Linked DNA regions of Canis lupus familiaris. The protein of the gene in region 3 interacts with the protein of the main gene of each other region in a biochemical or structural test. Links are inferred from orthologs where the notes say so. Each region holds a gene or a part of one and is shown on either strand. Other genes may lie near its edges.

Region 1 (3,652 bases), on a different chromosome or scaffold from region 3:
GTGTAATGTGCCCAGCAGGCTGCTGGCATCCAGAGAGCAGTAGCCACCAGGATGCTGTATGTGATGCCCTCTCCAGTCACCCCTTGCAGGAGACTGGCACAGCACCTTTCACATTTCATGAGTCCTAATAGCGTCCAATCCTCTTAACTAAATGCACAAAACAGACACGAGACCTGCTTCAGGTGACAGTCCCATTAAATGCCCCTGCCAGCCTGACTCGACCCCTAAGGAAACCTGGATCCTGTGGCTGTTTTCTTTGCTCTAAGTCCTGCTCTCTTTGCTCTAAGCTCCTTTAACCCTGTTGCACTGCCTTCTCACCCACGACATCGAGCTGGTAGGTGTGGTTAATGCTGCCATATTCGTTCTCCACAATGCAGGTGTAGTTGCCCTTATCAGAAGGCACCACGGAGTCCATTATGATGCTCCAGGTGGCGTAACGGACCTGAGGGGAAACATGCCAGAGAGCTCCAATGAGGGTCTGAAGTTAAATGGAAGCCAGAGCCATGCAGAAGCATGGGTGCCCTGTGGCACTCACCCTCCAATCCCAGCCCAGAGCACATGGCCTGCATGGCACGGGAGCCAGGACTGGGCAGAGACTGCCACCCTGGTCCATGTTCACTGCAAGAACGCATCAGGCAGACTGGCAGATGGGGATAAAGCACTCTGGAGGTCTGCCTGCCACAGCGAGGGCCATCTGCGATCTGACCTATGTGACTCCTCCATTCTCCCAAATACACCGGGGCTTCTCCCTATTTGCGTGTTCACATCCTGAGTTGCAAAAGCTCCCTGGGAAGACTTCAGCTCTGTCTACCCCTGACCTCTTCTTTTAAAAACCATTTCCTCTGGCCCAACCCTGGGTCAGAATGGCTCTCACTGTCCCTCTGTGCCCCTGTTGATGTACAGATCATGGCCAGCCTTTTTTTTTTTTTTTTAAGATTTTATTTATTTATTGATGAGAGACACAGAGAGAGAGAGAGGCACAGACATAGGCAGAGGGAGAAGCAGTCTCCATGTGCAGGGAGCTCGATGTGGGACTCGATCCGGAGACTCCAGGATCACAGCCTGAGCCAAAGGCAAGACACTCAACCACTGAGCCACCCAGGCCTGCTTTTTATGACAAGGTTCAACGATGCCTGCCATCCTATTAGACTGGAAGTTCTTTGTGGGAAAGAACACTGCTTTGTACCACTCATGGCAGTGCCTTGCATACAGCAAGTGTTTGATCAGTTAATTTATAATGTTTCCCTATTTTTCCTGATCTCTGCTTTTCTTTTCTTTCTAAAGATTTTATTCTTTTAAGCAAGCTCTACACCCAACCTGGGGCTTGAACTCAGAGCCCTGTGACCACAGAGTTGCACGCTCTACCAGCTGAGCCAGCCATGTGCCCTGATCTCTGCTTTCCTTATACCAGATTAATGGGAAAAGAGCAGCTAGGTGAGATGGGATAGCAGAATGATCAGAGTTTAAAGAAAGGATTAGGATGAAGAAGTTCTTGCTAGAAACACAGATGGGCAAAGGACGCAGACAATTCACATGGCCGGAAACAGAAGTTGCTTATTAACATGAAAATTTGAAACCTGTTAGTAAGTAGAACAATGAACAAGAGAAGAGTGAGTTACTTCTGTCATCTATGAGAGTTGTTGGCTCAGGTATGGTGAGCTTGTCATCCTCATACTCGAGCCATGGGAAGATGAATTAATTTTCTTTTTGGGAAAGGAACTGTTACCACAATAAAATTAAAAAAATAAAATCACACCCCAGCTCATTACATCATCCTCCATCAAAGCAAGTATCACAAAAAATATTACATCTTCCTGATGTACTTGGAACTCTACTGCCCAGTACGCTTTCTGGGAAGACGTGTTCAAGAAATGTTCATGTGGCCAGCCCGGTGGCTCAGCGGTTTAGCACTGCCTTCAGCCTAGGGCCTGATCCTGGAGACCCAGGCTCCCTGTGTGGAGCCTGCTTCTTCCTTTGCTGGTGTCTCTGCCTCTCTCTGTGTCTCTCATGAATTAATAAATAAAATCTTAAAAAAAAAAGGTTCATGTAATAAAAAAATAAATGAATGAGTAAAATTACCTACTTACCAGGAGAGAGAAAGGTAACGGGAACTATGTATTAAGGGCCTAAAAAAAGGGGCGCCTGGGTGGCTCTGTTGATTAAGCATCTGCCTTCAGCTCAGGTCATAATCCTGGGGTCCTGGGATGGAGCTGAGCGTGGGGCTCAGAGGGCAGTGTGCTCCTCTCTCTCCCTCTCCCCTCCCCCACCATGCATGTTCTCACTCGTTCTGCTCTCTCTCTGAAATAAAGGAAAAATCTTTAAAAAGGGGAAGGTGCTTTAAAAAATGCTTATGCTTTGGTCTAGTAACTTCGCTTCAAGCCACCTGTCCTGGGAGAAGAACATTTAAAATCACCAGCATAGATTTGTGTTCAAAGATATTCGCCACAGGGACGCGTGGGTGGCTTAGCGGTTGGGTGCCTGCCTTCAGCTCAGGTCATGATTCTGGGATCCGGGATCGAGTCCCACATCGGGCTCCCTGTGAGGAGCCTGCTTCTCCCTATGCCTGTGTCTCTGCCCACCCCCCGCCCTCAGTCTGTGTCTCTCATGAATAAATAAATAAATCTTAAAAAAAAAAAAAAGATATTTGCCACAATAGTATTAGTAATAGTCAAAAACCAGAAAATGGCAAATATCACAAAACAGGTCATTAAACGAAACATTTTAATAATGAAATACTATATAGTCATGAAAAATTATCTCAAGCACATGGCAAAAGACTCATGTTATGTTAACAAGTGATAAATTATATACATTAATGTGATTACATAAGAACCACATACACAGAAAAAAAGACTCTTTTTCTTAAGAGAGAATGTATGAACATGTGAGGTGGGAGGGCAGAGGGAGAAAGAGAGAATTGTTAAGCAGGCTCCATGCCCAGTGCAGAGCCCAACGAGGGGCCTGATCTCACGACCTGAGCAGAAAGAGCTAGACGCTCAACTGACAGCCACCCAGGTGCTCCAAGACTGAAAAGACCTGAATATTTTATTTGCAGTTTTTTTGTATTTGAAATTTTTCTAAAGCACACTGCGTTTTTTAATTTTATTTTTTTTAAAGATTTTATTTATTTAATCATGAGAGACACAAAGAGAAAGGCAGAGACACAGGCAGAGGGAGAAGCAGGCTCCTCGTAGGGACCCCAACATAGGACTCCATCCCAAGACCCCAGGATCACAACCTGAGCCAAAGGCAGATGCTCAACCCCTGAGCCAGCCAGGCGTCTCTAAAGCGCATTGCTTTTATAGTTAGAAAGTATTACTTCAAACAATTAACAACATATAATAAGGAATTTCTAAGTAGCTTCTCCCCTTCCTCTTATACTCACTTTCACATACATACACACACACATACCTTATAGCCTCCAATCCTGTGGTCAGGTTTGAATTCTTTGCCATTTTTCAACCAGCGCAGCGTGGGGTTGGGAGTCCCACTGGAAGGGCATTTGAACTTCACGGTCTTGGCAGCCGGCACCGCGTGCAATTTCTTTTCCATCTTTTCTGGGGATGTCCAGTACGGAGCCACGGCTGCCCAGGGAAAGCCAAGAGAGACAGGCAGGGAACCAGTAAGGCTCAGGAGCAGGGGCCAGGCCAGG
Region 2 (3,652 bases), on a different chromosome or scaffold from region 3:
AGCACAGCCAGCAGCATTCACACCCGCCACCCAGGGAGACACCAGAGCTGCCACCTAGGCTGTGGGGACCTGACTGAGAGTGGGGCGGCTCCAGGGAGGCCCCTCTGAGCCAAGACACTGCATGTCAACTTTGCTCCCATATCAGCCACAGGGCCTGGCGCACGAGTTCTGTGGAGCAAGGTGGCCGTGAGCTGCAGGGCCCCCTGCCTGTCCCTGGCAGCCGTGGAGTGTCCCAAGCCAGCGACCCCAAGAGGACAGGAACAGAGCGAGCACCAGCAGGAGCCAGTACCTGGCAGCACCACCAGCCACGCAGAGTGATGGGAAAACCCGATAGAATTGCCCGCCAGACACGTGTACTCCCCCGCGTCCTCAAAGGTGACATTGCGTAAGGACAGAACCTCTAGCTCCTTGTCGGTGGTGTTAGCGCCCGCCGTCTATAAAGAGAGAACAGAGCGCGATAGGCGAGCGCCAGCACCTCCCACGGGCACCACAGCCAGAGTCCACATGGTGACGATCCCGCCAGGCTGCAAAGAAAACGCTGCCGCCGCCACCACCACCACCACTGCCATGACCACGGCCACGGCGCCAAGGGTCCTCTGCCTTGTGCGTCCACACAGAGCCCGAAGCCAGTCCCTCCACCGGCGAATCCTCTGTCCCAGGTGAGCGCCAGGCGTGCGGCCAGCAGCAGGCTGCGCAAACGCAGCATGCAGGGTTAGCGTGTACGCTGGGGGGGTGCAGGAGAATAGGTGAACTGATGGGTGGACAAACAGACCAATGGGAAGTGAGTAGGCAGCGGAGCCAGGGGCGGGAAAGGGAGAGAGAAAGATACACAGCACACCGGCGTGCACACACACCAACACGCACGCACACACACGGGGGTAGGGGCAGAAGCAGAAGCCTAGAGAGGTACAGCCCCCACTGGGGCTGAAGTCCTGGGGGTGTGTGTGGGAGCGCAGGCAGGGTCAGCACAGGCCACGGGGGCTGGAAGCAGGCGGTCACAGTGGAGACCAGAGACACCAGCATGGCAGAGGTGGCTCCATCGGGAGTGCAGTGCGAGCCACAGGGCGGGGAGCGAGCAGGATGGGGGCGTGCAGGTGGGCGCATGGCCAGGGCATCGGAGCTGGAGCTCGGCGTGCCAGACAGCATGGGACAGAGTTGTTACCTGCTTGGGGCCCGTGAACACGCAGCCAAAAGGCCTTCTCAGCCACGCCTATGAAATTGGAGGCTCGACAGAGGTACTCGCCCCCGTCACGCTCGGACACATTGGCCAGGCGGAGGCGTGCGTCGGCCTCCACACTCTCACTGATCCAGGACTGCGGGGACAAGAGACCCGGCTTAGGCGCGCCCTTGGCAGCCCGGCCGGGCACAGAGTGGCCATGCAGGAGCAGGCCCTGGTACAGACCCTGCCACGAGGGTGGCCCTCAGAGAATGGAGAAGGGGGTGTGGCTAGGCTATGCCAGGCAGGAAGGCTGCCTGGAGGAGACAACAGAAGCACCTTCCAGTGGCAGGCCATGGTTCCACAGGAGGCACCTTCTCCACGTGCACCCACTACAGCCCAGAGTGCAGCCCTGGCAGGCAGCCCTCCAAGAGGCCCTCCTGGGCTGGCATGCAGCCTGCCTGCCTCTGGGGTCCTGGATGGGCCTGCTATGTTGCTGCCTGGCTCACGGTAAGCATGTTCCCATGCATGTCGAGATCTCACCCGACCAGGCCACCATGGCCTCTCCAGTCGGGTCTGGACTCCTGCCCTCAGCCCAAGTGCCTGCTCCCCACCCCCACCAGCAACAGATGTTTCTCTTTGGGCTGAGAGTGTTGCAACCTTCCCAGCTCGGGTGGCCCCCGCCCCTCAGGCCGTGGGAACGAAGCTGAGGCCCTGCTGGCCCAAGCAAGGGCCGAGGGAGGCAGGCAGGCAGCAAGCCGTGCTCTGCACACCCGGACGGTGCCGGGTGAGGGTGGCACAAGGAGTGGCTGACAGCACCTCAGGCCCAGAATGTGCCACCTGCCTGCCCCAGGCCTGGAGCTTGAGCCCGGCCTAGGGCACCATCTGTAGGCCTGCCTCCAGGGCTAAGGCCAACCCTTAGAGCAGACAGGGAAACTGAGGACTCACAGCAGGGCCACATGCTCCAACCTCCCCTCCCCCACACCACCAGTGCTGAGCCGAGCCGGGCCTCCCTGTACCACTTCTCCCCTGATGGTGCGAGGCCTGGGTCCCATCTGCCGGCGCCCAGCCAGGGGTGCCACCCACCTTGAGCACAGTGACGTAGGGCGTACCGTCGGGCCCCACTTTGCTGCCGTTCACCTCCACATGCTTGAGCCACTGGATGTGGGGCTGGGCGTCGCTGTACACCTTGCAGTGGAACTCCACATCACTGCCCAGCACGGCCGTCTGGTTGGCCGGCAGCCCGGCCTGCAGGATGGGCCGGTGCGGGGAGCGCTCTGGGGGGGCAGATGGGGTCAGCGCTGCCCCTGGCTCTGCCCAGCCGCCAGCCCTTGCCCGCATTCTGGGGCCTCACCCAGCACGTCCAGAGTGTACGTCTGCCGGATGCTGCCAAACTTGTTCTCCACAACGCATGTGTAGTTCCCACGGTCCGAGGGCACCACGCTCTCCATGACCAGGCTCCACTGCTGATGTCGCAGCTGCAGGCGGGCGCGCGGGTGAGGGGACAGCAGGCCGAGGCCCCCACCGGCCAGCGCCACCCACCGCCAGGCCCACCTTGATGCCACCAATGCGATGCTCGCCTCGGAACTCCTTGCCGTTCTTCAGCCACGAGATGGACGGCGTGGGGTTGCCAGCGGCCGGGCAGCGGAAGCGCACAGTGTTGGCGGCCGGCACAGCCAGCAGCTTCTTGTCCATCCGCTCAGGCCGTGTCCAGTACGGAGCCCCTGCTGGCAGAGGGGCACATGGCAGCTAGCCCCCTGAGGGGAGCAGAGGCCCACCTGTCCCTTGCCTCTCCAGCCTCAGCATCCCCTCTGCCTCGATGGTCCCAGAATCACCTCCTGGAATTCTCAAGGCTAAGCCACATGGTCCCTCCCTGACTGCCTCCCCAGGAACCCACTCCCGACAAGAGGGCTCCCTGACCCGGGAGCCTTCAAGATACCAGGGTACCTCCCAGGGGAGGCCCATCTGGGGCAGGCCCACTGATGGAGACCCCACTGGCAGTGGAACCAGGTCAGCCTAGGGCACAGAGCCCAGCGGGATGGGCATGCCAGGCTCTGGAAGCAGTTTACCAGGATGTAAGACCCAACCACCCACAGAGCCCTGAGTCTTAAAGGTAGCCAGTGCCTGCCAGGATTCATGAGACCCCAAGTCACCCTCTAGCTCACAACAGGGCCTGATGGAAGCGGGAGGGGACGCGGCAACGAGGCTCAGATGTGGCATCTGGGAGGCCCTGACCTTTCCTGGTTTTCAGGGTTGAGCCCATCCCCACCCTAAGTGGTTTCCATCCTCCAATGCTGGGGTAAGGGGTGCATTCTTGTCATGGGAGGCTGGATGGGCATCCCCCAGGGCCGGGGAGAGACACCCCTCTCACCCCCACCCCTGCCCTGTTGCCTTCAACATAGCCATCTGGTGAAGAAGGGCACTGAGGCTCAGGCAGGGAGCCCTCTGGAGGCAGAGACCATGGTGACTCAGCACCCCTGACAATGCCTGTGGAGG
Region 3 (2,682 bases):
AATCGTGCATGTGTGTGCATGTAAGAAGGACATCTATATTTTGGTGATGTCTAGTTTGCTGTCCTCTGCGTCTGAATGTCAGAAAGGGAAGAATATCAAAGATAAGGATCTGTGCTGCTCTTTTAAGTCTGCACACGGATGTGTGTGGTTTTTGGTTTGTTTTCTTATTCATGTAAGGTGCCAGATGGGTGAGAGCAAGAGAAATACTTTTAAAAGGTCATTTTGTGTTAATTTTTAAAAAGTGCCATCATGGAAGGTATTGATTTGAAAAGTTGCAGTCCGGTGGTGAGAGGGGCAAAGAGGCCATTCAATCCTGTTGGCCCGTTTCTCCAGGGGACAACTTTTGTGACTGGGTTTTGGGATGTGAGGCAGAGGTTTCTGGTCATTATGACTGCTCACGAGACACCTGGCTGCAGGAGCTCTGGGTTGTGGGGATAAGTGGGACCCAGAGTTTCATAAGGCTCAGGTGGAGGGAGAGGTGCACTTCATCTGTGAAAATGGGGAACCTTTTAACTTTGGGAATGTGGGGAAAAGTACAGTTTTTCTGTTGGTAGATGTGTGCCTGAGAATGTGGCTTTTTTAAGTTGGGGGGCTCTTTCTGTCTAAATTCAAGGGAGTAGGAGGGTTGCAACAATTGTTTTTACTTCTTTGTATCCAGGAAGACTCAGTCACATAGAAAGCATTCTATCTTGAATGTGAACCAGGGATTAACTGTATCAGAATTCCCCCCAGGGCCTGTTAAAAATGCATATTTCCAGACTTTCTGGATCCGAATTTTAAAGGATTGGAGATTGAACATTTGCATTTTAAAGAAGCAATGCAGGTGATTGTTCTGTAACCCTGAAGTTTGAAAAGCACTCTTAGAGTAGTAAGTAAACTCTACTGCTTCAGAGGGCAGGGGATTCTGACAACAGTGTGATTGTTGAGAATGTTGGGCAAGTACTTTGTAAAACATGTATTAAAGATGAGGCAGGTATTTGAACCTTTGGCTTCAGCTAAGGCTCTCCCTTGCAGGATGGTCACCAATCCAATTGCTGTAGTAAAAATGGGAACAACTCGAAGCATTGATCATCCTTTGTCTCTTTGTCTCTTTCAAATAATTGATGTATGAAAAGAAATCTAACCAGAAAATATTTGGAATCTTTTGCACTTCAGCCATTATGAAAAACAATTAAGTGTAGTTAAATTTATATAGCCAGGCACTTTTTTGGAAAATACATCCCAATGGTTAAACTGGGTTAAAATCAGTGTTTTCTCATCAGAGTGATATTATGTAGCCATTGAATGTTGCTTCAAATACAGAAAACAGCTCTTTTGCAAAATATTTATTTGTTTGCTTGTTTGTTTGTTTTAACAGGAAAAACTAACCCAAGAGTGTGTATTCAGAGAACAGTTTGAAGAAAACTGGTATAACACGTACTCTTCGAATCTATATAAACACGTGGACACTGGAAGGCGATACTATGTTGCATTAAATAAAGACGGGACCCCAAGAGAAGGAACGAGGACTAAACGGCACCAGAAATTCACCCATTTTTTACCTAGACCAGTGGACCCCGACAAAGTACCCGAACTATATAAGGATATTCTAAGCCAAAGTTGACAAAGACCATTTCTCCACTTGAGCCCTTAACAGAGTAACCACTATAAAGGTTTCACGCGGTGGGTTCTTATTGATTAGCTGTGTCATCACACCAGCTCCACTGTTGCCAAACTTTGCCGCATGCATTCTGTACGATGGAGGCTTGGAGGGGAACATGCTGATTTTGTTGTGCACTTACAGGCTTGTCCTCCTGGAGGGCCGCCGCCGCCCACTCGCTCCGGTCTATTGTGAGCCGAGGAGAGGGAGGCTGAGCGGGAGTGTGAGTGTGTGTGTGGATGGGTAGCAGGGGAGGTTGAAGAGAAGCAGAAGCAGAGAGGACAACGGCCTGATGCATGCTGGGATTTAGACGCGCTTTTACATTTTTGATCAATTGTCCTTCACCTTGTATCAGCACAGCTGCCATACTTCGACTCATCAGGATTCTGGCTGGTGGCCTGCGCGAGGGTACGCTGCATTTGCAAAGGCATGGAGGGTGCAGTCTTACTTACAAGACTTTTTCAGTTTAAGGCTCACTGGTGCCATCCCAGTGAATTTAAAGCAAAGACCTCTTAGTAATAAAAAAAAAAGTTAAATTTATTTATAGAAATTCCAAAGGCAACATTTTATTTATTTTATATATTTATTTATTATATAGAGTTTATTTTTAATGAAATATGTACAGGCCAGATAGGCATTTTGGAAGCTTTAGGCTCTGTAAGCATTAAATGGCAAAGTCCGCTACGAACCTGTGGTAAATTCATGCAAGTAAATATAACGGTGCATGGATAGGAGAAATCCTAATGACCCTAATGTACTAAAGGCGACAATCTCTTTTGTGCCCGTATTATTGTAAACTTATGCACATCATTCATGACACTGAGTATTCACTCTTCAGACTGCTTGTTTCATAGCTTATCCCAGAGGATTAAAGAGAAACTGGGTCTCAAACTTTTATTCTGTGTCTGTAATATTTCCTCTCTCATAAGTGACTTATTCCATCACTGTAACTTCACGGTTGGAAAATACAAGGGTTGGTATCTAGCCTACGTGTTTGAATCTCTTACAGAATATACCAAAGCTAAACAATAACTATGCTTTTA

Evidence for each region.
Region 1: the proteins of FGF9 (region 3) and FGFR1 interact in a biophysical measurement, tested with the Homo sapiens proteins (2 studies listed by BioGRID and IntAct, with this or other methods). The link is inferred for Canis lupus familiaris from reciprocal best matches to the Homo sapiens genes FGF9 and FGFR1.
Region 2: the proteins of FGF9 (region 3) and FGFR3 form a complex in vitro, tested with the Homo sapiens proteins (3 studies listed by BioGRID and IntAct, with this or other methods). The link is inferred for Canis lupus familiaris from reciprocal best matches to the Homo sapiens genes FGF9 and FGFR3.

What each region holds. Positions count from the first base shown.
Region 1 is NC_049237.1:27,802,125-27,805,776, reverse strand, and holds part of FGFR1 (fibroblast growth factor receptor 1), read right to left. Parts: intron 3,585-3,652; coding exon 3,412-3,584; intron 443-3,411; coding exon 319-442; intron 1-318. UniProt on the Homo sapiens protein: Tyrosine-protein kinase that acts as a cell-surface receptor for fibroblast growth factors and plays an essential role in the regulation of embryonic development, cell proliferation, differentiation and migration.
Region 2 is NC_049224.1:62,845,506-62,849,157, forward strand, and holds part of FGFR3 (fibroblast growth factor receptor 3), read right to left. Parts: intron 2,884-3,652; coding exon 2,711-2,883; intron 2,635-2,710; coding exon 2,511-2,634; intron 2,434-2,510; coding exon 2,243-2,433; intron 1,314-2,242; coding exon 1,163-1,313; intron 435-1,162; coding exon of another isoform or gene 290-434; intron 1-289.
Region 3 is NC_049246.1:16,712,096-16,714,777, reverse strand, and holds part of FGF9 (fibroblast growth factor 9), read left to right. Parts: intron 1-1,357; coding exon 1,358-1,603; 3' UTR 1,604-2,682.